Callithrix jacchus: one gene and its partners. The main gene of each other region encodes a partner of the protein of the gene in region 4 in a complex. Links are inferred from orthologs where the notes say so. Each region holds a gene or a part of one and is shown on either strand. Other genes may lie near its edges.

What was found.
Region 1: the proteins of AP3M1 (region 4) and LAMP1 are in contact, whole or in part, in a cryo-EM structure (PDB 9C5A), measured with the Homo sapiens proteins. The link is inferred for Callithrix jacchus from reciprocal best matches to the Homo sapiens genes AP3M1 and LAMP1. Residues at the interface, in NP_001307192.1 of Homo sapiens: Glu178, Tyr180, Phe181, Asp182, Gln381, Val389, Asn390, Arg391, Leu392, Phe402, Lys403, Gly404, Val405, Lys406; in NP_005552.3 of Homo sapiens: Ser410, His411, Gly413, Tyr414, Gln415, Thr416, Ile417.
Region 2: the proteins of AP3M1 (region 4) and AP3B1 are in contact, whole or in part, in a cryo-EM structure (PDB 9C5A), measured with the Homo sapiens proteins. The link is inferred for Callithrix jacchus from reciprocal best matches to the Homo sapiens genes AP3M1 and AP3B1. Residues at the interface, in NP_001307192.1 of Homo sapiens: Met1, Phe15, Leu16, Glu17, Trp20, Lys21, Ser22, Val23, Gln26, Val42, Glu43, Asn44, Val45, Pro46, Pro47, Val48, Ser50, Tyr55, Ser58, Ile59, Tyr60, Gln71, Thr72, Glu73, Val74, Pro75, Pro76, Leu77, Phe78, Ile80; in NP_003655.3 of Homo sapiens: Leu60, Lys64, Val67, Gly68, Ile70, Ala71, Lys72, Gly73, Ile92, Glu93, Lys96, Leu97, Val100, Arg104, Glu107, Asn128, Gln129, Leu130, Arg137, Arg143, Ser163, Pro164, Tyr165, Lys168, Asn169, His172, Gln175, Lys176, Leu202, Ser206.
Region 3: the proteins of AP3M1 (region 4) and AP3D1 are in contact, whole or in part, in a cryo-EM structure (PDB 9C5C), measured with the Homo sapiens proteins. The link is inferred for Callithrix jacchus from reciprocal best matches to the Homo sapiens genes AP3M1 and AP3D1. Residues at the interface, in NP_001307192.1 of Homo sapiens: Ser25, Ser27, Asp30, Tyr31, Glu34, Pro52, Asp104; in NP_003929.4 of Homo sapiens: Lys29, Glu388, Gly389, Thr390, Thr391, Arg393, Glu429, Arg432.

Annotation. Positions count from the first base shown.
Region 1 is NC_133502.1:28,766,420-28,773,922, reverse strand, and holds part of LAMP1 (lysosome-associated membrane glycoprotein 1), read right to left. Parts: intron 2,673-7,503; coding exon 2,485-2,672; intron 1,619-2,484; coding exon 1,493-1,618; intron 751-1,492; coding exon 684-750; intron 605-683; coding exon 434-604; intron 1-433. UniProt on the Homo sapiens protein: Lysosomal membrane glycoprotein which plays an important role in lysosome biogenesis, lysosomal pH regulation, autophagy and cholesterol homeostasis.
Region 2 is NC_133503.1:132,754,209-132,762,323, reverse strand, and holds the start of AP3B1 (AP-3 complex subunit beta-1), read right to left. Parts: upstream 4,281-8,115; 5' UTR 4,162-4,280; coding exon 4,034-4,161; intron 1-4,033. UniProt on the Homo sapiens protein: Subunit of non-clathrin- and clathrin-associated adaptor protein complex 3 (AP-3) that plays a role in protein sorting in the late-Golgi/trans-Golgi network (TGN) and/or endosomes.
Region 3 is NC_133523.1:1,990,708-1,998,212, forward strand, and holds part of AP3D1 (AP-3 complex subunit delta-1), read right to left. Parts: intron 7,315-7,505; coding exon 7,243-7,314; intron 6,554-7,242; coding exon 6,478-6,553; intron 6,366-6,477; coding exon 6,166-6,365; intron 5,755-6,165; coding exon 5,681-5,754; intron 5,059-5,680; coding exon 4,878-5,058; intron 3,904-4,877; coding exon 3,832-3,903; intron 3,446-3,831; coding exon 3,338-3,445; intron 2,043-3,337; coding exon 1,884-2,042; intron 1,540-1,883; coding exon 1,492-1,539; intron 1,135-1,491; coding exon 945-1,134; intron 491-944; coding exon 402-490; intron 249-401; coding exon 163-248; intron 1-162. UniProt on the Homo sapiens protein: Part of the AP-3 complex, an adaptor-related complex which is not clathrin-associated. The complex is associated with the Golgi region as well as more peripheral structures.
Region 4 is NC_133513.1:56,081,403-56,087,597, reverse strand, and holds the end of AP3M1 (AP-3 complex subunit mu-1), read right to left. Parts: intron 4,580-6,195; coding exon 4,372-4,579; exon of another isoform or gene 4,350-4,371; intron 2,780-4,349; coding exon 2,635-2,779; intron 2,173-2,634; coding exon 2,072-2,172; 3' UTR 44-2,071; downstream 1-43. UniProt on the Homo sapiens protein: Part of the AP-3 complex, an adaptor-related complex which is not clathrin-associated. The complex is associated with the Golgi region as well as more peripheral structures.

The DNA of each region.
Region 1 (7,503 bases), on a different chromosome or scaffold from region 4:
GGCTGTCGCTTGGGGGAGCCGCTGCAGAGACTGGCGCGCTCTGCACAGCTGGGAAACCACACATGTTTTCCCCCGGCTGGAATCAGGGGCTGTGGCTGGGCAGCTGTGCTGTGTCCAGAGCCTCCGGGCTTCCTGGAACACAGAGCACATCGGATGATGGTTTTGCATTCAACTTTCATGGGAGAAACGCCACCACTGTTCTTAAAATGACACCCTTACTCTCAAATGGTACCAGGGGTTCCCAGCTCAGAGATACGCTGGGCCTCTCTAAAGCAGGGGGAGTTTCCTCTAGAATCTCAGACCGGGAAGAAGAAACGGCTTGCATAGGAACAAGGGTGTTGCCCCAGGCCACACAGAAGCGATTAAATATCCACAGGTGGAGTCTGAAGTGCGTCCTCTACACCCCGGGACAGCTGCCCTCGGCGACACTCACCAGAGCCAAACTGGTCACCGTCCACCTTGAAAGCCTGGACCCAGACTTTGAATATGTTGACGGAAAGCGCCTTGGTGACGCGGACGCGCTCCTCGGCGTTGCACCTGTAGGAGTTGCCAACGGTGGCCTGCAGCGCTCTCAGGGAGTTGTTGGAGGCTTTAAATGTGGGGTCTGCAACACACACACAAGTCAAGTAACTCCGGGGCACTCTGGGTGGGGAGCAGGGGCTCCAGAGATTGTGGGTTCTCACCTCTGGCGTCAGGAAGAGTTGTATTCAACTGGATTCCTTGTAGGAAAAAACGGCTAGAACTTGCATTCTTAAAAAGAAAGATGATCTTTAACCACTGAGTAGACTCGAACATCTATCATTAAACTTGAAAGGTCATTTGGTAAAAAATTTGACTTCCCATGTTTCTAGTTTTTGAACAAAACTACAGAATATCCTGTCTATAAAAGGCCAGTGAATTCCAGTTAGTTCCTTCCACGCCCTTTTCTGAGAGTCTTGCTCTGTCGCCCAGGCTGGAGTACAACGGTGTGATCATGGCTCACTGCAACCTCAACTCCTGGGCTCAAGCGATCGTTTTATCACTTGTGGAGACAGAGCCTCCCTGTGCGGCCAGGCTGGTCCTTCCAGACCTCTTCATAGAGTTAGAGTCTCTGAGAAGCGGGGCCTGCAGGAGCTCTTACGGCACAGGAAAGCATGATTTGGAAAGTTCAAATGGTAGGAAACTGAACTGCTAATTCATCTGCACAGCGACTTAAAAAGATTGACAAGTGACATTTATATTCTTCCTAACTGTGTTGCTCACTGCACAGGAGTGCTCCAGGCAGAAAGGCCACCCCGTGGCTGTAGGGCAGCAGCGTCTGAGGCCAGAAGGCCTCGTGGCCTCACAGCAGCAGCCTTACCCCTGCAGCCACCCCACTGTGGGCACGGCAGCCCCGCCCAAATCGATTACTGAGTAACCAGGATTTTAAAAAGGCAGGAAAAAGTGAGGCTGCCTTGTTCCTAATTCTGCTACCCATGAGCAGACCCAGGGCACAAGGGACACCCGGCCTCACCATCCCAAACTGGAACAGCAGGACCGTGCCACCCTCATCGCGCAGCTCCAGGGTCACCAGGTGGGTGCCACAGCTCCCGGTGGCCAAGGTCTTGTTGGGGTTGATGTTGAGAAGTTTTGTCACCGTCTGTAAGACAACCAAGCAAGTCATCACCCCAGCCAGGTCCTCCAGATGCTCAAAAAAAGAAAAACAGTCCTGAAACCATGAATTCAAGGCCACATTTGTTTTAACCAAAACGAGAAGGAAGCACTGTAAGTCCACACTGGTACAGATTTCAGGATCCCAAGATGACTCCTGGCCACTGTGACAGCTGCTTTCAGAGTGTGGCGTCCCTGCGTGGATGGCACCAACCAGCACCACCTCCCCCTGCAGCCGTCAACCCTGCAAACTCGCCCCCACAAACCCATAGCCTGTCACTATTAGGGGAGAAAAACTATTTCAAAAGAAAAGTATAAATATGTAACACTTAAATGTCTCAATGATAAACATGTAAAGAAACCTTATCTTCTATCGGGGGCCACGTGAATGTTTTCAGGCTCCATGGGCCACACTGCTCCGCATGCCTGCTGGGACAGCAGCCTTGGACAATAGAACCAGCAGGACAACTGTGTGCCTACAAGATGGACTCACTGACACAGACACCCCAGCTCTTGTCCTAGAGGGTCCCATCCTGCAAGCTGAGCTCCCATCCCCACTTAAAGCATGACCTGCAGAGATGTGCACTCTCAGTACACAGGGAGCAGAGGTCCCGGCCCTACAGAGGCCTGCTGTTCCCCCTCAGGTGAGGCCCACCCTACAGCTCTGTCCCCCTCTCTCAGGTGAGGTCCCGGCCCTACAAAGGCCTGCTGTTCCCCCTCAGGTGAGGCCCACCCTACAGTGCTGTCCCCCTCTCTCAGGTGAGGTCCCGGCCCTACAGAGGCCTGCTGCTCCCCCTCAGGTGAGGCCCACCCTACAGCGCTGTCCCCTTCTCTCAGGTGAGGCCCCGGCCCTACCGTGTTGTCCTTCCTCTCGTAGGTGAGGTTCAGCTGCAGCCCCATGCTGGCCAGTAGGCAGGTCCCGTTGGTGCCGTTCACACTGTACTTGTTCACAGAGGGGCTCTCCGGCATGGGTGAGGGCGAGGGGCTGGGTGGTGCGGGCGGCGCTGTGGTCGGGGAAGGCCCGTCTTGTTCACAGCGCGTCTCTGCAGGAACAGTGGAGGGAATCCAGGTCTGGGTTTCTCATCATCAGCAGTTACAGTAAGATCCAAACTCAGAAACCAAACTGACAAGGTGGCTCTCACTAATGCCTTTCTAGACGTACAGGACAGAGCTGAGTCCTGCAGACAGCAGATGGCTCAGGCTTGCAGGGCACCCTCAGCCTCCAGCTCCCACTACCCAGAATGCCCCATGGCTGGACAGTGTCCACTGTGCCACCCTCTTCCTAAAGTGAGGGTGAGAGGGCCTTGAACGCTGTCACAAAGGAGTGAACATAGGAGGCTGTGCTGTGTGGCTGGCCACGCCACCTCACCCCTCCCCACCCCATGGGAAATGGTGATAACTCAGTCACTGCTCCCTGAACTATCAAATGGGTGCCAGTATTGTGCTGGAAACACCACCCAGAAGAAAAGAGGGTCCACGGCGCACACAGCCCGGCCAGGTGGGACGCAGAGCAGCCAAGGAGGCCCTCTGGCAGGACAGGGGTCAGGTGGCTCTGTGAGGACCCCATGTGTGAGCAGAGACGCAAAGGTGGGCAAGGCTAGCCAGCTGCCTTGGGTTTTCATCTGGGGAGGGGGCAGTGGTGGGGATGGACAAGCATCCTCACTAGGGAGAAAGCAGCAAGTGTGGGTGCATCCTGGACAGGAGGGCGCAGTCCAGGGAGTCTGTGGAGAGGGGCCATGTGGCACCCCAAGGAGACTGAGACGTCCAGGGAGTCTGTGGAGAGGGGCCACGTAGTACCCCGAGGACACTGAGTGGTTCAGGGAGTCTGTGGAGAGGATCCACGTGGCACCCCAAGGACAGTGAGTGGTCCAGGGAGTCTGTGGAGAGGATCCATGTGGCACCCCGAGGACAGTGAGTGGTCCAGGGAGTCTGTGGAGAGGATCCATGTGGCACCCCGAGGACAGTGAGTGGTCCAGGGAGTCTGGAGAGGATCCATGTGGCACCCCGAGGACAGTGAGTGATCCAGGGAGTCTGTGGAGAGGGGCCACGTGGCACCCCGAGGACACTGAGCAGTCTGAATGTGACTGTCCCTCAGCATCTAACCCACCAAGATGTTCACAACACACATTTATATTGAAAGTCAAGGCAGACTGAACTCGAGGTAGAGCTCTGCCGACTCTTCTGTGGCTGATACTCACAGCCACACACCATCAACCTTGAAATTAGGTTCTTTCTTTTACCACCTTGTTTCTGTGAGCACTCAAAAACAGGATTTATATAATTTCTACCCAATTCGATCTTTTCCACATCTCCACTAGGCTGAGTCGGCACAAGTGAGCCCCAAATATCCAGGTGGGCAACCCTGTGGGGGATCTGCCGCCTGTGACTCCATCGGCCACTTGTTGGTTCTGCTTCCATCTCAACTTTCAGCGACCAATTCCCAGCTTCACATCCCCTCTGCCTGGGGGAGGGGAGAGCCAGGACCCTTCGCCTACAACTGTACCCCAAGTGGTTCTGAGACACACAACTCAGGAGTCCCCCACGCCCCGGTGTAAAAGCCCTTTCTGGACAGAGCAGAAGATGGCAGAGAGGAGCTACGGTAACCACACCAAGCTCTGAAGTGACAGGCACCACGGCCACCGGGAGCCGTCCCAACCCAGGATGTGCTCACAGACCTCGCTCACTCCTTTCCAAAACAGCCTCAGCTGCCAGGCACAGTGGCTCATGCCTACAATCCCAGCGCTTTCAGAGGCCAAGGAGGAAGGACTGCCTGAGCCCAGGAGTTCAAGACCAGACCCCATCTCCACAAATTTTTTTGTTTTTAAATTAGCCAGGGCCAGGCGCAGGGGCTCACGCCTGTAATCTCAGCACTTTGAGAGGTCGAGGCAGGTGGATCATGAGGTCAGAAGTTCAAGACCAGCCTGGCCAAGATGGTGAAACCCCATCTCTACTAAAAATACAAAAATTAGCCAGGCACAGTGGCAGGTGCCTGTAATCCCAGCTACTCAGGAGGCTGAGGCAGGAGAATCACTTGAACCCAGTGTGGGTGGGGTGGAGGTTGTTGTGAGCCAAGATCACATCATTGCATTCCAGCCTAGGCAACAGAGTGAAACTGTTTCAAATAAAAATAAAAATAAAAAATTAGCCAGGCATGGTGGCATGTGCCTGTAGTCCCAGCGATTCAGAAGGCTAACTTGGGACGGTCACTTGAGCCTGGGAAGCTGAGGCTGCAGTGAGCTTGACTGTGCCACAGCCTGGGAGACAGAGCAAAGACCCTGCCTCAAAACCAAAAAAAGCAGCTTCACTGCTCCTTTATAAAATGTTACAGAACACAGCTAAACAGGCAAAAGTTAATGTGCAAAACCGGCCAGTCTAGATGGCCACACAACGCAGGAAAAAAGCATCACCTACGCTGCTCTGACAATGTTTAACGTGTGATCCACATTCGTTTATCACCTTGTTTCTGTAAAGTGGTCACAAGAAGTCAGGCTGGAAACACCATGCCTAATCACCAGTTTAGAAAGTCAGAACTTGAGGAATAAGTGTGGAAAATGTCCTCTTCCTTCTACCCGAATTACAAATGCAAACCCACATTCTCCTTCCTTGATCACATACAAAACACCAAGGTCCATCCAGCAGAGGACACGGAGGGAGAGATCATCACAGAACACACTGCCCGGGGAGAGATGGTGGTGCAGGAGCCTCTGGGGAGCCCTGAGAATCAGGAGGCCAGGGGCACACCTCCCCCACCCCCTCCGGAGAGCAGCGGGCAGCAGGGTCCTCCCAGACTCTGCTGTCTTTCCAAAGCCCACGTGCTCTGAAGGCCTCTCCTCATCTCCGGGCAGCAGCAGACACTCACACCCACCTGCATGCTGCAATTCAGGGCCTCAAGGGTGTATGTGAGATTAGAATGATTTCACCCACACCCTCTGTTACAGTCTTCAGTTATAATGCTGGGTGTGTCAGGCCTCGGGGCAGGCCTGACTGCCTCCCGCCCCTTTCACCTGTCCTAAGGCAGGACTCTCATCTTCCCCGCCTTTCTGATAGGTTTTTTTTTTTGAGATGGAGTCTCCCTCTGCCGCCCAGGCTGGAGTGCAGGGGCGCCATCTCTGCTCACTGCAACCTCCACCTCCCAGGTTCAAGTGATACTCCTGTCTCAGCCTCCAGAGTAGCTGGGGCTCCAGGTGTGCACCACCACGCCTGGCTAATTTTTGCATTCTTAGTAGAGACGGGGTTTTGCCATGTTGGCCAGGTTGGACTCCAACTCCTAGGCTCAAGTGATCCACCCACCTCAGTCTCCCAAACTGCTGGGATTACAGGTTTGAGTACCTGGTGAGGCCTGACTATAGGCCTTAAGACCCGCAGATAGGGTCCTGCCCTACCCACTAGGAGAAGAAACGCTGAGGTCATGAAGCTCCCACAGAAGCCCAAGAGGACTGGGTTTGGGAAGATCAAAATCCGCTTACCCCAGGGAGGTTCCTGGAGGGTGGCGCCCTGGAACGAGAAGGCATGGAAGCGCAGTGTCCGTGTCCCTCCCCATACCTCGGCCCCCGTGTCTCTTCCTCTGTGTCCTTTCCACTATCATTTATAATAAACCCATAAATGTTTCCCTGAGTTCTGTGAGCCACTGCAGCAAATTAATCAAACCCAAGAGGGGGTCACGAGAGCCCCAACTTGAAGCTGGTGGGTCAGAAGTTCCGGAGGCCCAGATTTCCGACTGGACTGGGGGTGGGGGGGAAGGCACTCTTGGGGAGGGAGCCCTCTTCCTGTGGGACCTGACCTTTCTCCGGGCAGATAGGTTAGAACTGAATCAGAGGACACCCAGCTGGTGTCCACTGCTTGGTGTGTGGGGAAAAGCTTGACCACATGTGGTCACAGAGGCCGTCTGTGTTGATGATGGCTGCTGGAAAGAGGCAGTTAGAGAGCTTTCCCTACACAAAAGGGTGAGATGTTTCACCATGGCTTCCCTCCATTTAAGCTGGGATTACAGGCATAAGCCACCCCACCCCCGGCCACATCAGCCCTACTTTTAAGATCCTCGGGAGAGAAGGTACAAAGTCCATTCAAAGATGGCTTGTGCTTTATTTCCTCTAAAAGTACAATCTGTGAGGTCCCCAAGCTTTCTTAGACAAGACGACGTGATGAACTGAAAGGCACGATGAATGAGGCCTTCTGGTCACAGAAAGTAAGTATTTTAGACTTTGTGGGCTGTGGCTCTCTGTGAAGACAACACAGCCCTGTCACTGCTCATGCACACGCAGCCACAGATACTGTGTAAATAAATGACTGTGGCTGGGCTCCGAGAGAACTTCATTTATAGACACTGAATTTTACACCATTTTCATGTGTCAAGAAATACTCTTTCAGATTTTTGGTATGTTAAGTTTATAAACATAAAACCCATTCTTAGCTCATGGGCCCTATGGAAACCGGAGGTGGGCAGGACCAACCCAGGACAGTGAGGGGCCGACCTGCAGGGGTCCTGGCTCTTCTGGGAGGGGTATGACAGGACGATACCCCCCCCCCCGCCCCAGCCCCCGACCCCAGCCCGGAGCCCAGCAGTCACTCCTCGGCCTCAAGCGAGAATGCTGAGGAATGCTGCAAACCAAAGGTCCCAAGATGAGAGAAGGCTGTCATGTCTCCATACATACTCCTACCAGCCAGGAGCCACCCTAAGGCAAAGTACAGGCACTCAAGTTTCAGCTAAATGACAATGACCTATGACCTATGACCTTCCTGGACTGCGGCTCGGGAGAGAAGCTCAACAGTAACAGGATTTACCAGGTGTTTGCCACTTGCTCTGTGCCAGATGCTGAGATACACACTCTGCATACATTTCCCTTTTAATTCTATCAACCTTCTAAGAAAGGCTTT
Region 2 (8,115 bases), on a different chromosome or scaffold from region 4:
AATGCTAAGATTACAGGTGTGGGCCACCATTCCAGCTTCAGTGTTCTTTCTAATACACCATGATGCTCTCAAAAGAAGAGAGATTTACAAATTTAGTAGCTTTACTATTGTAATTAAGAAAAATTAATTAGTCTTGTCTGTTTCTGGAAATTAATTCCTAATTAAATTTTTAATTCAGTAATAGAATTATTAAAATTATTTTTAATTATATACACACAAACCCAAATTGGTTAAAAGAAGTTTTTTTAAAAAGAAAAATAACTTAGAAAAAAACAGAAACAATAAAAGCTGAGAACATTCTAAAAAGAAAGAAGTGGCCAGGCACAGTGGTACATGCCTATAATCCCAGCACTTTGGGAGGATGAGGCATTCAGATTGCTCAAGCCCAGGAGTTCGAGACTAGCCTGGGCAACATGGCAAGACCCCATCTCTACAAGAAATACAAAAATAAGCTGGGCATGGTGGCATGCACCTGTAGTCCCAGCTACTCAGAAGGCTGTGGTGGGAAAGCTCACTTGAGCCAAGGAGGCTGAGGCTGCAGTGAGCCATGATCATACCACTGCACTCCAGCCAAGGCAACAGAGCAAAACATATCTCAAAAACTAAAACCTAAGAGTACAAAAATAAGTTCTTTACATTTTAAATAGAGAAATTAAAAATCTTGAAGCCAATAATCTAATACACAGGCCTTTTTAGCCAACAAATTAGGTATAGGATCTCCTTTCATAAAGCCATCTAATTCTGGTTCTGTTTGAAGGGGGGCGAAAGGATAAATAATACTGATAAATAAGATTAAATTCAGAAAACAAAAATCACCAATAATACCATGACTAGGAAGTACTTTGGCATCACTGAGATGGTTAGTGAAGGATCAGAGAACACAGCTGTAGGTCAAAAAGCCAAAGAGCAGGGCAGTAGAGGGACTTAGAGAGATGAAACATTACCATTTTGCAGCCATGGTGCAAAAGACAGGTTCAGGAGATTGATCAACGGTTGTTAAATGCACAGGTGGTCAATTTAATAAGGAGCAAGACATCTGCATGGTCTCAGTGTCTCCCCACACATAATTTGAAAAAAAAAATAGCAATAATACAATAGAGAAACTAGACAACCCTGTGACTAGGAAAATTAACATCATGAAGATGGACACCCTATGCCTTCAAATGTAATAGTTTGAAAAGCAGGTATCACCTATGGTAGTATTCCGGCCAAGGATACATAGAGCCTGAATCTAAATAGAGGAAACACCAGCAAGCCCAAACTGATTCACATAGAATAAAATAATTGACTTCCTTAGATATGTCAAGGTCATGAAAGACAAAAAAGGCTAAGGAACTATTCTAGATTAAAGAAGATTAAAGAGACATGGCAACTAAATTAAATATATTATCTTGGACTAGATCCTGTACTTGAGGGAAAAAATGCTGGGGAAAAAGAAAAACTTTATTAGAACAAATGATTACATACGATTGTATGGGCATTAAACTTCCTGAATGCATCAACACTGCAGTTGTATAAGAGAATATCTTTGTTCTTAAAAATTACACAGTAAGATTTTAAAGTGTAAAAGAACACGATGTGTACAACCGAAGTTGTCCAATAGTTCCAAAGACATAATAACATGAATGTGTATGTGCCTGTATATGCATGGAGAGAGTGAGGACAGAGTGCTACAAAGCAAGCAGTGTAGCAATTTTTTTAATGATAAACCTGCAAAAGGGTAGCTCTCTGTGCTACTGTTGCAACTTTTTTGTAAACTTGATCAGAGTAAACCATGAAAAATAAGAGCTGAGGAACAGGGTAAGCTTTAAGTTTTTCACATAAATTTTGTCATTCGATTTTTTCTTAAAGGCAAATAATATTACAGTTTTATAAATGAGAAAATGTGGACTCAAGAGAGATTGAATGACCACTTTCAGAACAGAGGTCTCCTTGTTTCTGTACAATTCCATTAGATTTCAGTTCAATAGCCAAATGTTTCTAATCCCTGGAAGCTTCTCTGGTGGTACTACTTAAAGCTACTGTCTAAAGTTTCAAACTTTTTGTGAGTTGCATGCACTCACTAATAAAAATACCATAACTTTCATCAAGTAGTAAGTAGCACATCTAAACACTTGAGAGAATGGGCTCTAATACTGGAGCCCCTGGGTTCAAATTCAGGCAGTGTAATGTTCTAGCTTTCACAAGTTAACGACCATGCTAACTTCATGTGTAAAATGGGAGCAGAGAAGTACCTGGTAATAACCTGCAGGGCTGTTACGAAGACTGAATCAGACAATAAATATAAATCGGTGTGCACAAATGCACAAACACTCAATAAATATCTTTTGAGGAACACAATTCAATCATGGTAATTTGCATATATTACATATCATTACATATCACCCCTAATCAATTAACTACTTTTATATTAAACCCAAACTGTTAGGTCACCCTCAAGACCACTGGTCACAGAGTCAAGGCCATACATTGTTTGTTTTTTGTTTTTTTCCCCCCAAATTAGGTCCAAATCAGACAAAAATATTTTTCCTTTTTTTTTTTTTGAGATGGAGTCTCTGTCGCCCAGGTCAGAGGGCTGAGGCACCATGTCGGCTCACTGCAGCTTCCACCTTCCAGGTTCAAGGATTCTCCTGACTCAGCCTCCTGAGTAGCTGAAACTACATGAGCCCGCCACCACACCCAGCTAATTTTTGGATTGTTAGTAGAGACCGGGTTTTACCATGTTGGCCATGCTGGTCTCCAACTCCTTGGCTTCAAGTGATCCTCCCGCCTCACCTCCCAAAGTGCTGGGATTTACAAATCACAGAAGTAAATTGATTTGCAAAATAGATTAATGCCGATTTACAGGTTAATTCGGTCTAAACATTTTGCTAATACAACTGTAGAGGCAACAAGCTCCATGCTAGAATAATGGATTATCTATCCAGTGCACATAATGCAAAACAAAACCAGTTACCTTACTTTTAAACTTTTCTAACCTAGAAGACAGTAACACTCAAAAGATTGTATCTTACATGCTATATATATATATTATTTCGATCATCAATACAACCAAAATGTAATCCTAATTTCAACTAGTAGTACTTTCTAGACCACCGAATAGTAACGTTTAATTTAAATTTTAATTATACCCTCTAATATACCTGCAAAGCTACCAGCACAGTTATTTTACCTTAATTTAGCAACAGACTATTATGTGACCCATATTGCTTAGTAATGAAAGATTTAAAATAAGAGAAACGCAATAAAATATAAACAAAGTTACCAGGATTCTGGTAAATGTAACCGCTACCACCACCAATACCACCATCCCACCCTCCCACCCCAAAAAAAATCAACTTGGGATTTCCTTCCATTTCTCGGTGGTACTTTTTACAAAACTAAGTGTACCTTGTTTAACATTCGTATTTAAAATTCACGTTATTAATTTGTAAAAGTTTAGGATTTGTTCCAAGTTAATACTCCTTCTAAATATTTTCTATTCATATGCTTATTTTGGATTGGTGTTTTTGACTGTAGTGCAAAGGATACTGCCCAAGAACATTAATACTGGTATAAACCAGTTTGTCCATTCCAACAGCCCAAATCCACCTCTCTGCTCCTATACTCCGGGGCCACAAAATAACTCCCACAAGCAACACTCGCACTCACTTTCACCAAAATCCTCGTTTCACCCTAATCAGGGAATTTATCAATGAAACTAGAAAACTATGCTCAAAATTCAAACTCCTGAGCCCAGTCAAGTCCAATTCAATCAGCGTCTTCGGGGGGGGGGGGGGTCTAAGCTCACCAGGTGGTTTTCTTTTCTCTAAGAAAACTACTAGAGACCCCTACAAACACTCGCCCCAAACTCCTACAACTCCCACCACCGCCAACCAACCCCATCCACCCACCCGCGGGACAAGTTGCCGCCCCGCTCCGCTCAGGTCTCTGGGCGACCCCGCTCCTCTCCAGGGAGCCCCACCCCGGTGCCGACTCCTCGGAGTCCCCAGCTCCTCCCTCCCATCCCCACACCCCAAACCTTTCTCCTTACTTCTTCAAATCGCTGCTAAAAAGGCCGAAGGCGCCCGAGGGGGAAATGGCTGAGGTCGCCTCCTGACCCAGCTCCGCCGCCTCTCCTCCTCCGGACTGCTCATTGTAAGATAAACTGTTGCTGGACATTGCCGTGGTGCTGGCGGGTGCGGGGTTGGTCCAGCCGGGGGTCGTCTCCAAAAGGTTCCAGTCCAGACGGCAAGGAACAAAACTAGTTCCCCTACTGAGAGACGCGCGCAGGCGCTTCCGGACTCGTCACGGCTCCCTGAGCCGACCTGGCCGTGCACCCCCTGCGCATGCGCAGTATGCGGGCCGTCCGGCTCCTACCCGGGCCGTCCAAGCCTGCGCGAACTTTCCTGCTCCGGGTTTTAGAGGTAGCTGAGCGGCCGCGAGCCTGCCCGCGGGAAGGGAGGTAGCGGGGGCGAACGGCCCGGCTCCCGACCCTTAAGTGGTGTTGTAGGTGAAGGTAACCCTTTGCATCCATTTTGATCCCTTAAGGAGTTTCCAGAGCCCGGACAGCTCTTTGCTAGACCTCTGTAAAGCAATAGTTTTCTGTTTTCTCCGGAAACGCCATTTACCACGCCAGATCAACTTTCCTAAACCCTTCGCTATCACTTTTCCTTTTCTTGCTTGTTTCGGCTACTTTTCTCCATCCGGCGTTGCCTTACTTTCCCATCCGCCGCAGGCAACTTTTCTCCTAGACTTTAAGGAGGACTCCCCCAACGATAGTTTGGAGGATCCGCAGAGAAACGACCATTCCATCTTTGCAACGAAAATCTTGGAGGCAGACTGGGCGCGGTGGCTCACAACAGTAATTCCAGCACTTTGGGAGGCCGAGGCGGGTGGATCACTTGAGGCCAGGAGCTCGAGACCAGCCTGGGCAACATAGCGAGCCCCTGTCTCTGCAAAAAATATAAAAATTAGCCGGCGTGGTGGCGCGCGCCTGTGGTCCCAGCTACTGAGGCTGAGGTGGGAGGATCGCTCGAATCCAAGAGGCGGAGGTAGCGATGAGTTGAGATCGCGCCACTGCACTCCAGCCTGGGCGACCGCGCGAGACCCTGTCTCAAAAAAAAAAAAAAAAAAGGAAGAAAAAGAAAAGAAAACATCTCGGGGCCTCCAGTTCCCGTATGGGAATTCCACAGACGCTGAAGTGGTGCGTCCTGCTAGCATCTAGCTACCAAAAAATGAAAAAAACAAAAAATTTTGAGGCCACCAGTTTCCGTTTGGAGCTGAAGTGGTGCGCCCTACTGCCGTCTAGCTACCAAAAATAAAATTGACCAACTCGCGCGCCAGGCACAGCTGTCTTCTACAACTTCTTCCAGTGTCCTGTCCCCTTACTGTCACTCACTAAGATGCACTAGCAAGCCCAGGCAGCCCCGGAGTAGCTCTCTCCGGGTGCTGGCAGCCGGAAAAACCTCCTTCCAGGAGTGCCTACCCCCAGCCCGCCTTCTCCTGTGAGTTTCAGCGCCTTCCCTCTCTTCTCCCCACTGCCTCCCGTCCAGGCAGGCGTTAACACCCAAAGTCATGGAAGCCAGGTACTGAAACTGTCAAGGGATTCTACCAGGTAGAACGCTATCCTTAAAGGCCGGCTGCTTCTGGGAAGGCGGTGGGCGTTTTCAAGAATCAGAATGTGCTCTCCAAGTGTAAAAGGACACACTGTCACTGTGAAAGCACGCACGAGCGTGGCTCTGGGTGGGAGAGGAAGGAACGTCCTCCAAACTTCGTCTTGTCAAATCTTGGCAGGTTTTTAATTCAGCGGTTAGAATACCTCCGGAGATGCAACGATGAGCACCTAAAATGTGTTGTTTGTCTATATTAATGATATTAATTAAAAGAATTTCACCTATAACAGACTATTGATGATCATCATCATAACTATATATTATATAATGCTTCATATATATCAGGCACATATATAAAAACTAAGTAATTTTATATATATTAATAAAAGGAGCTAGGCTTTGGTTACTTTATTTGTAAAATGAAGACATTGATATACACATATCCTGGAAAATCTCTGATACGTACCTGATTATAGAATTTCTTGGTTTTGGAGTATGTGTACTTTTACCAGATATCCTAAATATTTTTCCAGCATACTTTTGGCGATGTGTAATCTTCTTCCTTCACATTCTCACAAACGATTAGCTTTCTAAAAATGTTTTATTGTCATCAATATAAAACGAATATTATTTATGTTGTAATTAATTTTCATTTTCATGATCATAATGAAATTGAGAATATTTTATGTCATTATTACTCCATTTGCATTTTATTCCCTGGGAACTGTACATGAACCTATTTATCCGCTTTCATGTTGCGTAGTTTTTACGATGGACTTGAATAGTTCTTTATCCTCGAGTCTGTCATTTTTAATTAACTGTTTGATTCTATTTTACAATATTTTTATTTTTTCATGCAGACTCAGGTACGAGATTGACCTACAATATTGGAGTTTTTGATTGGGGGGTTTGTTTTCGGGGGGTTGGTTTGTTTTTACATTGTCCTTGAATGGTGTGGATATTAACAATGTCTATTTCTCAAAAAAGAGTTAGGGGTAACTTTCTTTTTCTCTGGAATATTACATATAAGATACAAAGCATATATTCCTGGAGGAAATAGATAAAACTTTCTTTTTATGACTAAAAAGAAAATGAGAGCATTGACAAGAAGGGACTTGGGTCCCTTACTGCCTTAAAATTCTAAGACTGTATATTCTTAGAGAAAGATAAAAAATAATAACTCCATAGGCTATAGTCTAACGTTTCCATATCTCCAGAATTGAAAAATCTCTTAGATAGCCATGAAGTTTTCTGACAGGGGAAAAAAAGTCCACACACTTCCAACCAGAAGAAACATTAACAGAACTAAAAGATTACTCTTTGACACCTGTTACCAAGCCAAACCAGATTTTTCTGTTTCCTGCCAGCATATGTAGTGTCTTGCATAAGCTATGTCTTTTTCAAAAACTATTTTACCCCCAGCACTTCACAAAACCTTTATCAAATTTTCTGTTTCAGTTTCTGTTCATCTAACCCTCATGATAGCAGGTGTTAAGTGTGGTGTATATATTTTCAGGCTTTTTTTCTCTAAGCATAGAAAAATAAATATTGAATGTGCATATTTCTACAAATACCAATTAAAACTATAATACCATTCGGCATCTTACTGCTTCTCATTGTTTTAAACATCTACATAGTATTACATTCCACAGGTGCACCTGTATTTATTTAATCAATAGCCTATTGATACACATGTAGACTGTTTCCAGTTCTGGACCATTATAACAACTCTCAGTGCAGGTCTTTACACCAACTCTGTCAGTACATGTCTTTATACCAATGTTCCATTAGCTAAGCTTCCAAAAGTCCAATAGCTAGAACAGATTATATGCACACTTTTTATAGATATTGCCAGATTTCTAAACTGAAAAGAGAATACCAGCTTCTTCACCAATATTCTGTTTCAAGACAACCTTACCACCAAAGTATATTATAAATCTTTCTAATGCTTGCTAATCTAATTGCTAATAATAATAAAATCCTTATTGCCATTTAAACTTGCATCTCATTTAGTCTAAGTAGAGACACAATAAAATTTATTTTTCAAACAGGAAGTTTTCTTTCTTTTTTTTTTTTTTTTTTTTAAGAGAGTTTCACTCTTATTGCCCAGGCTGGAATGCAATGGCGTGATCTCTGCTCACTGCAACCTCTGCCTCCCGGGTTCAAGCGATTCCGGCCTCAAGTGATTCTCTGGCTTCAACCTCCCAATGAGCTACCATGCCTGACTAATTTTGTGTTTTTAGTAGAGATGGAGTTTCATAGGCTGGTCTCGAATTCCTGTCCTCAAGTGATCCACCCACCTCGGCCTCCCAAAGTGCTGGGATTACAGATGAAAGCCACTGGGCCCAGCCCCAAATAGGAAATTCTCAAAACAAAAAGTGATACTAGTCATAATTCTACTTGGCAAACACAGGTAAACCAGGACTTTGCTAGAGAAATAGGCATATATAGTTACCCTAAATATAACACATCAAAATTAAAGCACACATCAAATGATTATTTGAATTTTTCTTCTATTGTC
Region 3 (7,505 bases), on a different chromosome or scaffold from region 4:
TACTCTGCCCCAGCTGGCACAGATGCCAGGCAGCCTGACCTGCACTGACCACCTCGAAAACCATCTCTAAAGTCCTGCCCAGAAGCCTCAGGCCCTGGGGCACAGGCGGAGGGGAGGCGGAGGCAGAGCGGGGCGGTGGCGGTGGGCGGTGGCAGGGCCCACCTGTAGCAGGGCGTGGTGACCAAGTACGAGCTGCAGCTGAAGTGCAACCTGAAGTCCAGCTTCTCCTGGGTCGCACCCTCGTCATTCTGCCGTGGAGCAAAAGCAGCGCAGCTGAGTGGGGAGTCGGGCCCAGCTCAGGCAGGTGGCCCACTTCCCATCGGGACACTGGGACACCCACTGGGATGGGGCAGAAGCCCCAGCCTGCAGAGCCTCCCCGACGCCGAGTGGAGCCTGCACACCTTGGCGATGAAGGACAGGGTCCCCTTGAGCTTCTGCGCCGTGACGACGCTCTGGATAGTGAACACGAACTGGGCTTCGTTGGAGACGCCTGGCAGGGGTGAGAGGGAGGGGACCTGAGATGCAGCCGGGGCTCAGCATGGGTGGGGCCCCTGTGTGTGTCCTCAGTCCTGAGTCCTCTGTGGCTGATCAGGAAGCTGGGCTCAGACCCCAAGGGAGCACCATGGGACAGAAGCAGAAACAAGAGTACTGGTGTCCCCAGTTTGGCCTGAACCTGGTCCCATGCCCATTTCACAAAGGGAAGATGCAGCCACTGGAGCCACAGAACCCAGGAAGGCCCCAGCCCACAGTCCAGCCCTCAGGGCTCTGGCCATGTCGATCCAAGGCCACCGCACTTCTCAGAGCTGTGGCAAGACCCCGACATTCAGGAGGCACTAGGGTGCAGCCTGGGGACCTAGGGGACGTAGGGGGGTAGCAACAAGAACAGCAGATCCCACCAAGCTCCCACAATCCCCAGGGGAGGCCGTGAGCAGGGCGAGGCTCACCTGGGGGCAGCTGGAAAGGCACAGGGACGCCATCGTGGACGGAGGAGCCCTGCGGCCGGGCCATCCTGGCATTGAGTGAGTCCAGCACGCTGAGCTCCATGCCCTTGAGGACACTGTTGCTCCGGTTCTCCAGCACGATGGCCACAGTGACCTGGCTGTCCTCCTGCAGGCTGCCCCGAACGTCACAGGTCTGCGGGCACAGCCAGTGTCAGCAGGGCAGGTGGGCCACCCGCAGGGAACAGGCACAGGCTCCTGCCTCTCAACGGCCATGGAAGCACAGACCAGGGCCCCCCAGCCTCAGCCGGAGTGCCTCCCGTGGCTGCTCTGTGACACATGGCAGGGACCCTCAAACCAGCCCAGGCCTCAGGGCATGTCTTCCACCTCACCTGAGCCAGAGGGGCTGCCAAGCAATGCCCCCGCAGGGATCTCGCTCCCTGGGCACACCAGCATGCAGGACTTGGGGACCTTGCCAGGTTCTGCACAGTCCCACGCCAAAGAGCATGCGCTGGCCAGCCCTGCCCCAGGGAACGGAGCAGCCGCCACTCACCATTTTAATGTAGGAATTTTCAGCAAGGAGGGAGTAGCTGGACTCAGGCTGGAGAGAAAAAAGTCACATCAGCCTCAAAGGCCAGGCCCTGGGCTCTGTCGCAACAAAAACTCCAGTGCTGCCCAATACCCCAGGTCAAACGCCACGACTCCAAGAACGCTTGGGGCGAGGGGGCTTCAGAGGGGCCTGTGAGGGATCCCTGGCTCCCAGGACCACACAGCCCACCACGGGGGTGCTGAATGTGGGGCCGCGGGACCAAGCCAGGCCCAACCAGCTCAGCTTCTTCTGGAATCTGCTCCCTTCTCTCCCGCACGGAGGCAGCAGGAGTGCGGAGCAGCCCGCAGCCCGCCAGGAGCCCTGGCGCGGGGCGGGGGCGCTGAAGTACCCCTCACCGGGAGCGGCTCCTCCTCTGGCGCGCCGTTCTGCACCGGCTCCCGCGCCGCCTCCCCTGCCGCCTCCTCACTGCCCGGAGGCTGCTTCTTGGACTTCTTGCCCTTGGTGCGCTCCTCCTTCTCCTTCTTGTGCTTCTTCTTCCTAGGCTTGGGGGATTTCTGGAGCAGGAGGAGGGGCCGTGTCAGTTCCCAAGCCGCTCTCGTGCGTCCTGCTCACAACACGAGGTGGGAGCCACAGGCCGGGCTGCTCAGGCTGAGGGTCCCACATGCCTGGGTGGGGTGGCAGGACCAGCCCCGCCTCAGGCCTACCGGGGCCCAGCCCAGGCCAGACCCAGCTTAACAGAGGCCATGCTGTCCCTAATTGGCAGCAGGCTGGCCAAAGCAGCTCAGGGAACAGTCCCGGCTGACCAGGGAGCCACGCGGGGCAAACTGGCGAGGACACCAGACCTGATGCAGCAACCCATGCCCACGTACACACCCGAGAGGGAACACACACATCCACACACACTGCACGATCGTTCAAAGCAGCCCAAGTGGCGGAGGAATGGGGTCAGCACAGCGTGGCCTCGCCACACACTGAAACACGACCCAGCCACGAACAGGAACCAGGCTCTGACTCAAGCCCCATCGTGGACGCACTCTGAGGACATCATGCTCAGTGAGACATCAGACCCCAAAGGCCACACAGCGAATAATCCCATTTCTATGAAACATCCGTCCGCAAAGACAGGACGGGGAAGTGTGAGTGCCAGGGCTGGGAAAGGAATGAGGAGTGACGGCTGGAAGGAATGGGGCTTCTTTAGGGGTGATGGAAAGTTCTGGAACTAGAAAGAGTTGATGCTAGTTCACAACTCAATCTATGGAAAACCACCATACACATACTTTAAATGAGTAAACTCTATTAGACCTGTGAATCACGTGTGAATAAGGTTATTAAAAGGCTGGGTGCAGTGGCTCATGCCTGTAATCCCAGCACTTTGGGAGGCTGAGGCGGGCAGATTGCCTGAGGTCAGGAGTTCGAGACCAGCCTGGGCAACACAGTGAAACCCCGTCTCTACTAAAATACAAAAAATGAGCTGGGTGTGGTGGCGTGTGCCTGTAATCCCAGCTACTTGGGAGGCTGAGGCAGGAGAATCGCTTGAACTTGTGAGGCAGAGGTTGCGGTGAGCGGAGATTGTGCCACTGCACTCCAGCCTGGGCAACACAGTGAGACTATCTCCCCCTCACACACACACAAAAGCACCAAAAAGAAGTGGTTATTAAAAAAAGAGAACAAAAGTTGCGGACTCAGCCTCAGAGCGCAGAACCACACGCACAAAAGGCCCACGAGATCACCCACGCAAAGGCCAGGGTAGGGCTGCCCTGGGATCTGGGAGGCGGAAGCCGTGTGCAGCCCCACCTGGGGGTGCTGGGCTCATCCGGCCCTCCACAGCCCCCGGGGGCAACAGCCTCACCTTGTCCTGCTCTTGCCCCTCAGCACCGTCCTCTTCACCCTGCGCCTCCGTCTTGGTGTCTTCACACTCGTCTTTCGAGGCAGTGACGGGGTTCACACCGGCCTCCTCCTGCAGGGAGTCGGGACTCGGGGCTCACGATGGGCAAGGAGGGGACCCTCCACTGCACCCCAGGCAGCCTCCCACACCACACCCTCGGCTCACCCTCACCCCAGGCCAGTCCCGTGCCCCCACCCCACCTGAGAGGCCAAGATGCCCTCCAAGTGACAGGGAGCCCGCAGGTGCAGAGGCCCTGGCTGACCTTCCCTTCCCCTGGCCCCTGCTTGGCCCATCAGAACCCGGAAGTGTGACCCCGGCTGCACCCAGCTCAGGTTCCACAGGTGGGCGGTGCTGACTTTGAAGGCACAGGGCTTCAAGAGACCCGGGCTCCGCCCTGAGTGCCCGCATGACCTCTGGAGACACCCAAAGCCAGCACCAGCCAGCTGCCCATCTCTTACCGTGGAGGGAACAGGGGCAGGGGCGGGGGCAGGCGGTGGGGTGGTAGATAGCCAGAAGTCCAGGTCCGCAGCCTGAAACCACAAGACAGGCTGTCCGCAAATGCAGCGCATGGTCCTGGGAAGGGGGGCCGGGAATGGCAGGCCCCATCTGCCCTTGCTGGCCCCCAGGGCCCTGGACTAGCTGGGCCTTGCGAAGCCTGGGAATCCAGGAGCTGATGGCAACATCCTCAGCCGGCCCTACTGGCTCTGGCTGTCGCTGCCAGAAGGCAGCCAGGGACAGATCTGTGCATGGGTATGCGCCATCCCAGTGGTCAGAAGGCTTGTATCCAGCGAGGCCCTCTGATGTGGGTGTGGAAAGGGCCCCAGGCCCTGAGAACATGTGCTCCTTTGAAAAATCCATTTTTAGCCGGGGGTGGTGACTCACGCCTATAATCCTAGCACTTTGGGAGGCTGGGGTGGGCAGATCACCTGAGGTCAGGAGTTCGAGACCAGCCTGACCAACATGGAGAAACCCTGTCTCTACTAAAAATACAAAATTAGCCAAGCGTGGTGGTGCACGCCTGTAATACCAGCTACTCAGCAGGCTGAGGCAGGAGAACCACTTGACCCCGGGAGGCAGAGGCTGCAGGGAGCCGGGATGGTGCCACTGCACTCCAGCCTGGGCTACAAGAGCGAAACTCCATCTTAAAAAAAAGAAAAATCCATTTCTTTCTCTATGTGAAACTCTGCACACAGACGCTGCAGAATTGGTTCTGGAGCCGCATGTGAGGGCAACGTCTCAACCACGCTGAGCTCTGAACAGGGGTGAGGACAGGGCTCACCCACCGGACCATCGGGTCCTCGGGTCTCCCCCGACACAAGCACACAGGCAGCTCCCCTCTGACGCCACTTCTGCACTCCACCAGGCCGCAGAGCGAGGAGGCTGGCGCTCGCTGCCTCAGACTCACGGCCATTTCCCCGGAGCGGCCCACTGTCCCCAGCCAGTCTGTGAGTTCAGGGCAAGGGAGGGGAATGGAAGAGGATGCTGCCCTGGGCACGGGCCTTACCTTCTTCTCCTTCTCCTTCTTCTTTTCCTTGTCTCTCCCTTTCTCTTTGTGCTTCTTCTCTTTCTTCTTGGGTTTCTTGCTCTTCTTTTCTGCCACGGGAACGTCCTCCTTCTCAGGGGATTTTGATGTCTCCGCATTTCTGTGTTTCTGGATAGGCAGCTTCTCGCTGTCGGCTAAGGGCCTGGAGAGGGGATGGCCGGGGCACACATCAGCATCACTGGCCATGCCCCAGGTCTGCTGAGTACGTGATGTGTCCAAGCGCATGCCCAGGACATCCCAGGCCACGCAGTGCAAGACCTGCTCCTCCCGCCCCTGGCCCCCAGCCATGGCCTGAAAAGGATCTGCCCAACACCGCCTGCTGAGGCTGCCATGGGAGGGTCTGTGGTGGCCACACCCTGCCCCGTCACGACCTAGACACCTCAGAACCCATACTTAGGGTCTTGGTTGGGAAGGCCAGCCAAGAGCAGTGCAGTGAGGACGTTGCCTGGGGAAGGCCCGCGAGCACCCCATGCCAGCCTGCCCCCCACCTCCAGAGCCCCACCCCACTCACACCCCACCCCCCCATCCCGCCCACCCTCCAGAGCCCCACCCACCCACACCCCACCCCCCCACCCTCCAGAGCCCCACCCCTCACACCCCACCCCCCCCAGCCCGCCCACCCTCCAGAGCCCCACCCCAGCCCGCCCCAGCCCTCCCCAGCCTGCCCACTCTGTGAAGCGAGGCTCTGCTCAGCAGGCAGGACAGGAGGAAGGGAAGCAACCAGCTGTGGCCTCCACCCTCATCTTGAACCCACATGGACTCACTTATCAAGGTCAATGTCCAAAGCCCTGTAGGGGTCATTGGGGTCTTTGTCATCTTCGTCACTGGGCAGAGCGTTCTGACAGGAAGAGGGGAACTCCATCAGTGACACCCGCCCTGCGGCCTGGCAGACCCCATCTACCTCGGACCCAGTGGGACTGCCTGAGACAACCAGGGCCACGCCCACGAGGACCACACAGGCAGGTGGGCGGCAACGTGGCTCTACCCCAGAGGCTCCAATCAGCATCCAGACACCAAGGGCAGCCGGGCCCAAGGAAGCAGCAGACCAGCATCTGCCGCTGAAGCTGCCGGCCCAGGGCAGGTGAGTGCTGGGCCGGGTGAGTGGGGGCATGCACTGGAGGACAGAGAGGCCTCTGTTCTATGCTCTCTGGGGCGGGGAAGACCTCGGGGAGAGGCCGCTGTGCACAGCCCCAGTGACATGTGTGCTGAAAGGTGGGCGCCCCCGGGCTGGGCCGTCCAGCGAGCTGACCTCCGGCATCTCCTCGGTGACGATGTCCACCTGCTGGGCGGGGGCGATGTCCTCGTCACTCTCCGTGGGCAGTGAGCCATGGCGGCGCTTGCCCTTCTTCTCCTTCTCCTTGCGCTTCTTCCTCCTCTTGTCCTTCTCCAGCTTCTGCTGATGCCGCCGCTCCTCCTCCAGCTTAACGTACTGGTCCGACATGGGCAGTCCTGCAGGCAGGCGGGCCCTCAACACTGCGCCCCGGGAGCTCACAGAGAGCGCGGCAGGAACACCCCACGGCCCATGTGACAAGTGCGCCCCTGTAACACTGGAGACACTTGCCTGGAACCTTCAAAGGGACGGAGAGGTCGATCTGCACCACGGGAATGTGCTCCACACCCGGCGTGTCTTGGTACCGCTGCAAAAGCAATGTCCAGGCGTGACCACGAGCCTCCCAGCCCGGCAGCCTCAGGAACCAGGGGTCCTGCCGCAGCCCCAGGCTTCAAGGAGCGCCGTGAGCAAACGCATCCCGAGGACCCAACTCCTAGACAGTGAGGGCTGGAAAGCTGGTCACTCGAGTGACCCTGTAGGCCTACTGCACAGGGAGAAGCAAATCCTTGTCCTTTTTTTTTTGACAGAGTCTTGCTCTGTCACCCAGGCTGGAGCACAGTGGCATCATCTCGGCTGACTGCAACCTCTGCCTTCCGGGTTCAAGTGATTTTCCTGTCTCAGCCTCCCGAGTAGCTGCAAGTACAGGAGTGCGCCACTGCGCTGGCCGCAAATCCTCGTCCACTTTCTCTCCTCAAATGAGGAAAATAATGTGGCCTCAAGCCCAAAGTGAGGCAGCAGCTCGCCCACAATGGTGTGCATCAGGGCCGGACGGCAGCTGGGTGCTGAAAACACGAAGTGGGGACCCCGGACTGGAGGCCTCCAATAAACAGGACCCACAGGGAGGCACTGCTCCTCCAAGGCTCCTCATGGTTACTGCACATCCCCAGCTCCACGCCCAGGATCTGCCTGGGGAGCCTGAAACTCAGCGGGATGCTGCGGGGCATGGACGGTGAGGATAGAGGGTGCTGAGGGACAGAGCCCGGGGACCTGCCTCACCTTCTGTGGTGACGGCGAGCTCTTGATGTAGAAGGGGTTGTTGGCCTGCTCCTGCTTCCGGGCCTCTCGGCGCTGCAGGACAGGGCGTGGCATGAGTCTGAGAGAAGCAGGCCCGATACCCCTCCGTGGATGTCCCCCACCAGCAGCCGCCCAGCCAGAGGAGGCTGGATGTTTGGAAGGTTTCACCACTGAACTTTTACTAGCAGGGAAACCAAGGCCCGCAACTGGAAGGAACTCGTATTGGGAAAAGGAATCGCTGACCC
Region 4 (6,195 bases):
TCCCTCCCTTCCTCAAAAAAAAAAAAAAAAAAAAATCAACTTGTTGCTTTCATCTTTTTTATTGATAATATGACCAGAGCTAGCAAAATGATTTACTGGATTCTAGCAAATTAATAAATACAACAATTTGATTGCAAAAGGAAACATTCTACTTGGACATTTTAGTAGAAATTGCTAGAGGGAAGGAGCTCCTGGCATACATTCTAGTTGGACAGAAGAGAAGATAGCACAGGAGGAGAACTGGACAGTCCAAGTATAGACTGTTGAGATTAGGGATTCAGCAGAAGGAAAAGCAAAGGTTCTCATTGTTCTTTTGAGGTACAAACTCTGAGGAGTCAACATTAAAAACAAAAAGCAATTGAACTTAGGAAAAAGGAATAAATATTTGGCAACATTTTGACTTTAATTGCCAATCTGAGATTAGTTTCTCTAGAAATTTAGAAGCTGCAAAACGTGGCCTTTCTTATTCCATGAAAGGCAGGGTGGGTATCATGGGCAGGCAAAGGTAAGAAAACTGCTCAGTGGGCTCCTTGTACCAGCACCAACCAGTAGCCCTCAACAACATAGATAGGATGAGTGTAAGGGCTATCCTAGCGTAAGGGAAATACAGTTATAAGCTGAGAAGACTGAAAGAAGAAAAGAATGGAGCCACAAAGAGAAGAGAAAATAGCATAAATAATAAGGAAACATGAAGAACAAGCACTTATAGCTTAACTTTCAGGCTTTCTCCATTTCTTGATGTCTAATGAGGCAAAATAACTGGATAAGGACTACCAAGATGAAGAACTTAAATGAAATGACACAATGAAGTTGAGTGCAATTATACAACTGTTGACTGACTTTCCAAAACCATGGTGATCCGTACAGTATCATCAATGTTACCAAGGATTTTGTTTCTGCCTCATTATAACGCACTTCCATGCATTTTGTCAGTATAGTAGGTACATTTAAGCACTCCAGTGACAATTATGACAATAGTTTCTGGAAGAAATCTGACTATAGCTTTGGGAAGCACACAATATTAATTTCCCCTAAAGACAAGGAATATAAGCAAATTCAACCCCTTAACAACAAAAATAAAAGATTTAAAAAGACTGATGACAGTGAGGCAGGCAGATTTTCCTCCTTTTGCTGAACCGGGGGATGAGACATTTAGGTTAACTATGATTTAACTGGTGTTGGGTAAGGTTTATAAAACATGAAGATGGCAAAGTTTCACTTAAGTTTTTCTTTTACTACTTTAATTTGCTTAAAAGCACAAATGCTTGTGCTTGCAGTAACTTCCTAAAAGCATAAATAATGTTCCCTTTTACTACCTTAATAAAGCATTTGCCCCTTTGATACAAATGATTTTTTTACTGTGCTAGCAGCTGAACTAGTGGCACAAAACTGAGATGGTATTTACTGCAGCAAGGTCCCTGTAAATCAAATTCTAAGCTTTACATAAAAATCTTATTTATAAAAAATACAATACCAAGTACAGTGAGAATGGAGCATGGAGCAGCAGTGTTCCCTGCCAGGGCCATGTGGAAGTGGCTTTTGCTACAGTGCTTGCTTAATGGCACAAGTGAAAAGCTGAATAAGGCAAACACTTGAAGAGGCAGTTTTCTGTAAACTTCTGGGGGTGGGGAGAATTTCCTCTCTTGGGACAGATACTGGTTTGGGATGGCTAAGATCAGAAGGTGTGGTATTTGGCTGCATCTGACACATCACAGATTAAGATAGCTTCTGCTGGAGGAGACAGTTAACTCCTTTTAGGAGAGAGGTATAACTTTCTGCCTTTACTCTTACAATGTGCAGCCTTTAGATGGTACCCTCCTATGGAAAAAAAATTACCTCCAAAAATTTCCTAAGTGAAAAGATACAAAATAAGCTAAGTCACTAAAAGGTTTCCTTAGCTTAAAGCTCCTTAAGAATTCTACACTGATAACTAAGCAACTTTGTTAGCGGTGTGTAGCTAGTCACAAATGCTTTAACTAGAATATGTATTCCCACCCACTTGGTATCTAATAGTAATACATTGTAATGACACTTGGAAGACAAACTGGTCTTGAGGAATTTTGGCCTCTTCTTATGTTCTCACTTGGAACTTTCCAGCTTTCGTGACGTATTTGACTCCTTTAAATGGCTTATATTTCTCCCCATACATGTCCAAACGGTTTACTTTTAAGCCTGTGTCAAAAAGAGTGAAAAAGAATAAATTATCATGATCTCAACCAATATAATGTTAGCAATGAGCATGGTAAATCTGACATTAACCAGTGTCCCTTCTACCATTTGGAAGAAACATCTCTTTTACCATTTACAAATTATTGCACTTGATGGGATGGTTTTGGTTAAGCATACCACATAGGCAGGGAATGTCTGTGAAGTATAACTCTACTTTCTGTAAATATGAACAACTCCCTCTTTGGTGCTTGAATGAGGGCAGAGGTAAGGGGAGGCTGTGTGAAACAAGGCGCTCTCCAAAATCATTTGGTTGGTGCCTGAGAGACTGGTCTCCCAAGCACAGTGCAAAAGGCAAATGGGCTGTTGCTCTTTCTAGAGTGGGAAATTTTGTTACCCTTTTAAGTGCCTAATAATTGAGCTTGTAAAACTCAATTACCCTTAACTACAAGTGAGCCTTACTCTTACCTGAAATAGCAAGCTGCTGGATCTTAAACTGTATGTTGAGGCTCGGATTCTCTTCTGGTTTGGGGGCTCCAGACTGTAAATTTACCAGTCCTTTAAGACTTGGGAGCTTCTGTGGAGTAATTTTTCCCACATCCCATGTTAGTACCTTGGAAAGACAAAAAAAATGATGAACGAATGGAACTATCTATTAAAGACAAACCCTCAAAAAGAAGGTTTAAAGACACCATAAACTTCTGTACAAAATGAAGTGCAGTCTATTGAAAACAAGGTATCTGGGATCTACAATGAGTTTACTTCTGATTAGCTCTGTGACTTTGAATGGGAAGTGAGAGCAGAGAATCCACATTTGTTGAGCATTTTCTTTTGTATTAGCACTGTGCTTAGCACTATTCATATGTTGTCTCATTGAGGGCTGTGAAGTAGCTTTTGTCTTCTATTTACAAATGAGGAAATTAAGGGTCAGAGATCAAATGACTTGCTCAAAGCCACAGAGCTAGTCAGAGGAAAGGCTGGGATTTGCACCTAAGACCCTCTGATTTCAAATGTTCTCCATCATACCATCTTTACTACTTTTCTCTGGGCCTGTTAATTTTTCTGTAAAATCATTAGATTGACTTGAGATGGTGTTTTAAAAACTTTAGCTGTGCAACCCATTGTTCAAATGAAATCTTTAGTGTGGAGGCTCAACAGCAAATGAGAAAAAAGCAAAGCTGTCATAGTTGAAGCTGCGGTAAAGGGCCAGGAAACTGAAACTTTCCTTCTCAGCCCTGTGTGGTGTCCAGGAGGAGGTCCTTTGAATCCTTGCAACCACATTAAATAATCTTTAACATTCTATGACATTATTCAAAAAATGTGTCTTTTCATTTATCAGGCACCGCAATGACTCTGGTATTGAAAACAATCATATTTACTACCTAAGCAGGAAGCTGGGAGAAAATAATCTGCTACAGTTTCTCTAAAAACCCTCTGCTATAGGAAAATGTAAGTAAGGTGAGCATCTTTCCTAGCCCCAAGAAAGAGTATGAAGTGATGCTTTTAAATTAAAAAGAAAAAGGTCTTAATGATCAATTTACATAGAAAACTTAATAATTCATAGACCATAATTCTTTTATCTACATAATGTTTTCTCTTTTTAAAAAAGCTTTTACTGGCTGGGTGAGGTGGCTCACGCATGTAATCCCATTACTTTGGGAGGCCGAGGTGGGCAGTCAGGAGGTCGAGACCAGGCTGACCAACATGGTGAAACCCTGTCTCTACTAAAAATACAAAAAAATTAGCTGGGCGTGGTGGTGCTTGCCTGTAATCCCAGCTACTCAAGAGGCTTTGTGGTAGGAGAATCACTTGAACGTGGGAAGCGGAAGTTGCAGTGAGCTAAGATCACGCTATTGCACTCCAGCCTGGGCAATAAGAGCAAGACTCTTGTCTCAAAAAAAAAAAACAAAACAAAAAAAACTTTTACTTCTTTCTTATTAGATAGCAGAATGAGGCTCTGGATTAATAATGGATGAGTGAAGACACACTCTGAAAAAGGACAGAACAACTCGCTTTTCTGTTCATCTACTTGGTGCAGGATTCCCTTTGTAGCCAGTGGCAGAAGCACAGTACAGTATGCTCTCCAGGTTTTGATACAAACTTTAGTTTTAAACAAGGTGCTAAACCTTTCCCCCCACCCCTCCCCCCAAATCACAAAATAGATTGCAGAAACACTTGCTCACTCTTGATTTGAAGTGGCTGTACCTTGGTGACTGGATCAAATGTATAGCTGCCTTGTGTGGGTGTCAGGTTCATGTTCAGCACAACTTTTGGCATGTGAACTGTCACTGTAATTCCTTCAATAGTTTTCCCCATATTCTGCTTTGGTCCAATTGTTATATCAAATCTGCCACAAGAACTGTTCTCCTTAAAGCTGATACTATGTTTCACATACACTGGTATTGCCACTAGACTAAAAAGAGAAACAGAGAAAGACACAAAAGCACAAATACAATTAATGGTGTGGGGACAGCTCCAGAGGTATCCTGAAAACCTCTGTACAGAGTATCCTATCCTCCCTTTAACTCCACAGTAAGGCTCTTCAGAGTTGGCTCTCTGAAGCCACAGTTCTGCATCCTTGAATTTGACCAGCTAAGAACTGAAAATATCACTTTAAAAAATCAGCCAGGCATGGTGACTCACACCCGTAATCCCAGCACTTTGGGAGGCCAAGACGGCAGGAATAACCTGAGGTCAGGAGTTTGAAAGTAGCCTGGCCAACATGGTGAAACCTTATCTCTACAAAAATACAAATATTACCCGGGGCCAGGTGTGGTGCCCCTGCAATCTCAGTACTTTGGAAGGCCTAGGTGAGTGGATCACCTGAGGTCAGGAGTTTGAGACCAGCCTGGCTAACATGGTGAAACCCCGTCTCTACTAAAAATACAAAAATTAGCTGGGCAGGGTGGCACGTGCCTATAGTTCCAGCTAATTGGGAGGCTGAGGCAGGAGAATCACTTGAACCTAGGAGGCGGAGGTTGCAGTGAGCTGTGATCAAGCCATTGCACTCCAGCCTCAGCAACAAGAGCAAAACTCCATCTCAAAAAAAAAAAAAAAAAATTAGCCGGGAGTGGTTGTGAGTGCCTGTAATCGCAGATACTTGGGAGGCTGAGGCAGGAGAACTGCTTGAACCCAGGAGGTGGAGGGTGCTGTGAGCTGACTGAGCCACTGCATTCCAGCCTGAGCGACAATAGTGAAACTGCATCTCAAAAAAAGCCCCCCAAAACAAGAAACAATTGGGGCAAATGGTCCTAGTTTAAAAAATGAATTACAATTCAATGGAAAAATAGTGTAAAATACATATATATGTGTGTGTGTGTATTTTTTTTTGAGACAAAGTCTCACCCTGTCACCCAGGCTGGAGTACAATGGCGTGATCTTGGCTCACTGCAAGCTCTGCCTTCTGGGTTGAAGCAATTCTCCTGAGTCAGCCTCCAGAGTAGTGGGGATTACAGGCACCTGCCACCACGCCCAGCTAATTTTTGTATTTTTAGTAGAGATGGGGTTTCACCATGTTGGCCAGGCTGATTTCAAACTCCTGACCCCAGGTGATCTGCCCACCTCGGCCTCCGAAAGTGATGGGATTACAGGTGTGAGCCATTCACTGTGCCTGGCCTAAAATATGTTTTATATAATTGAAACAGTTCCTATGTCATAAGAGCTAAGAAATGATTTCTCTGCTTTTGAATCTTGTCATGATGTAAATCAAATAATTTCTGGTATTTTCAAGAAACAAACTAGCTATAACTATGACCCTCAATGCTAAGTGGTTTTTCTTTTTGAGATGGAGTTTCACCCTGTTGGTCAGGCTGGAATGCAGTGGCATGATATGTCACTGCAACCTCTGCCTCCCAGGTTCAAGTGATTCTCATGTCTCAGCCTCCCAAGTTGTTGAGATTGTAGGCATATGCTACCACTCCTTACTAATTTTATATTTTTAGTAGAGACGGGGTTTCACCATGTTGACCAGACTGGTCTAGAACTCCTGACCTCAAGTGATCTGCCCACCTTGGCCTTCCAAAGTGTTGG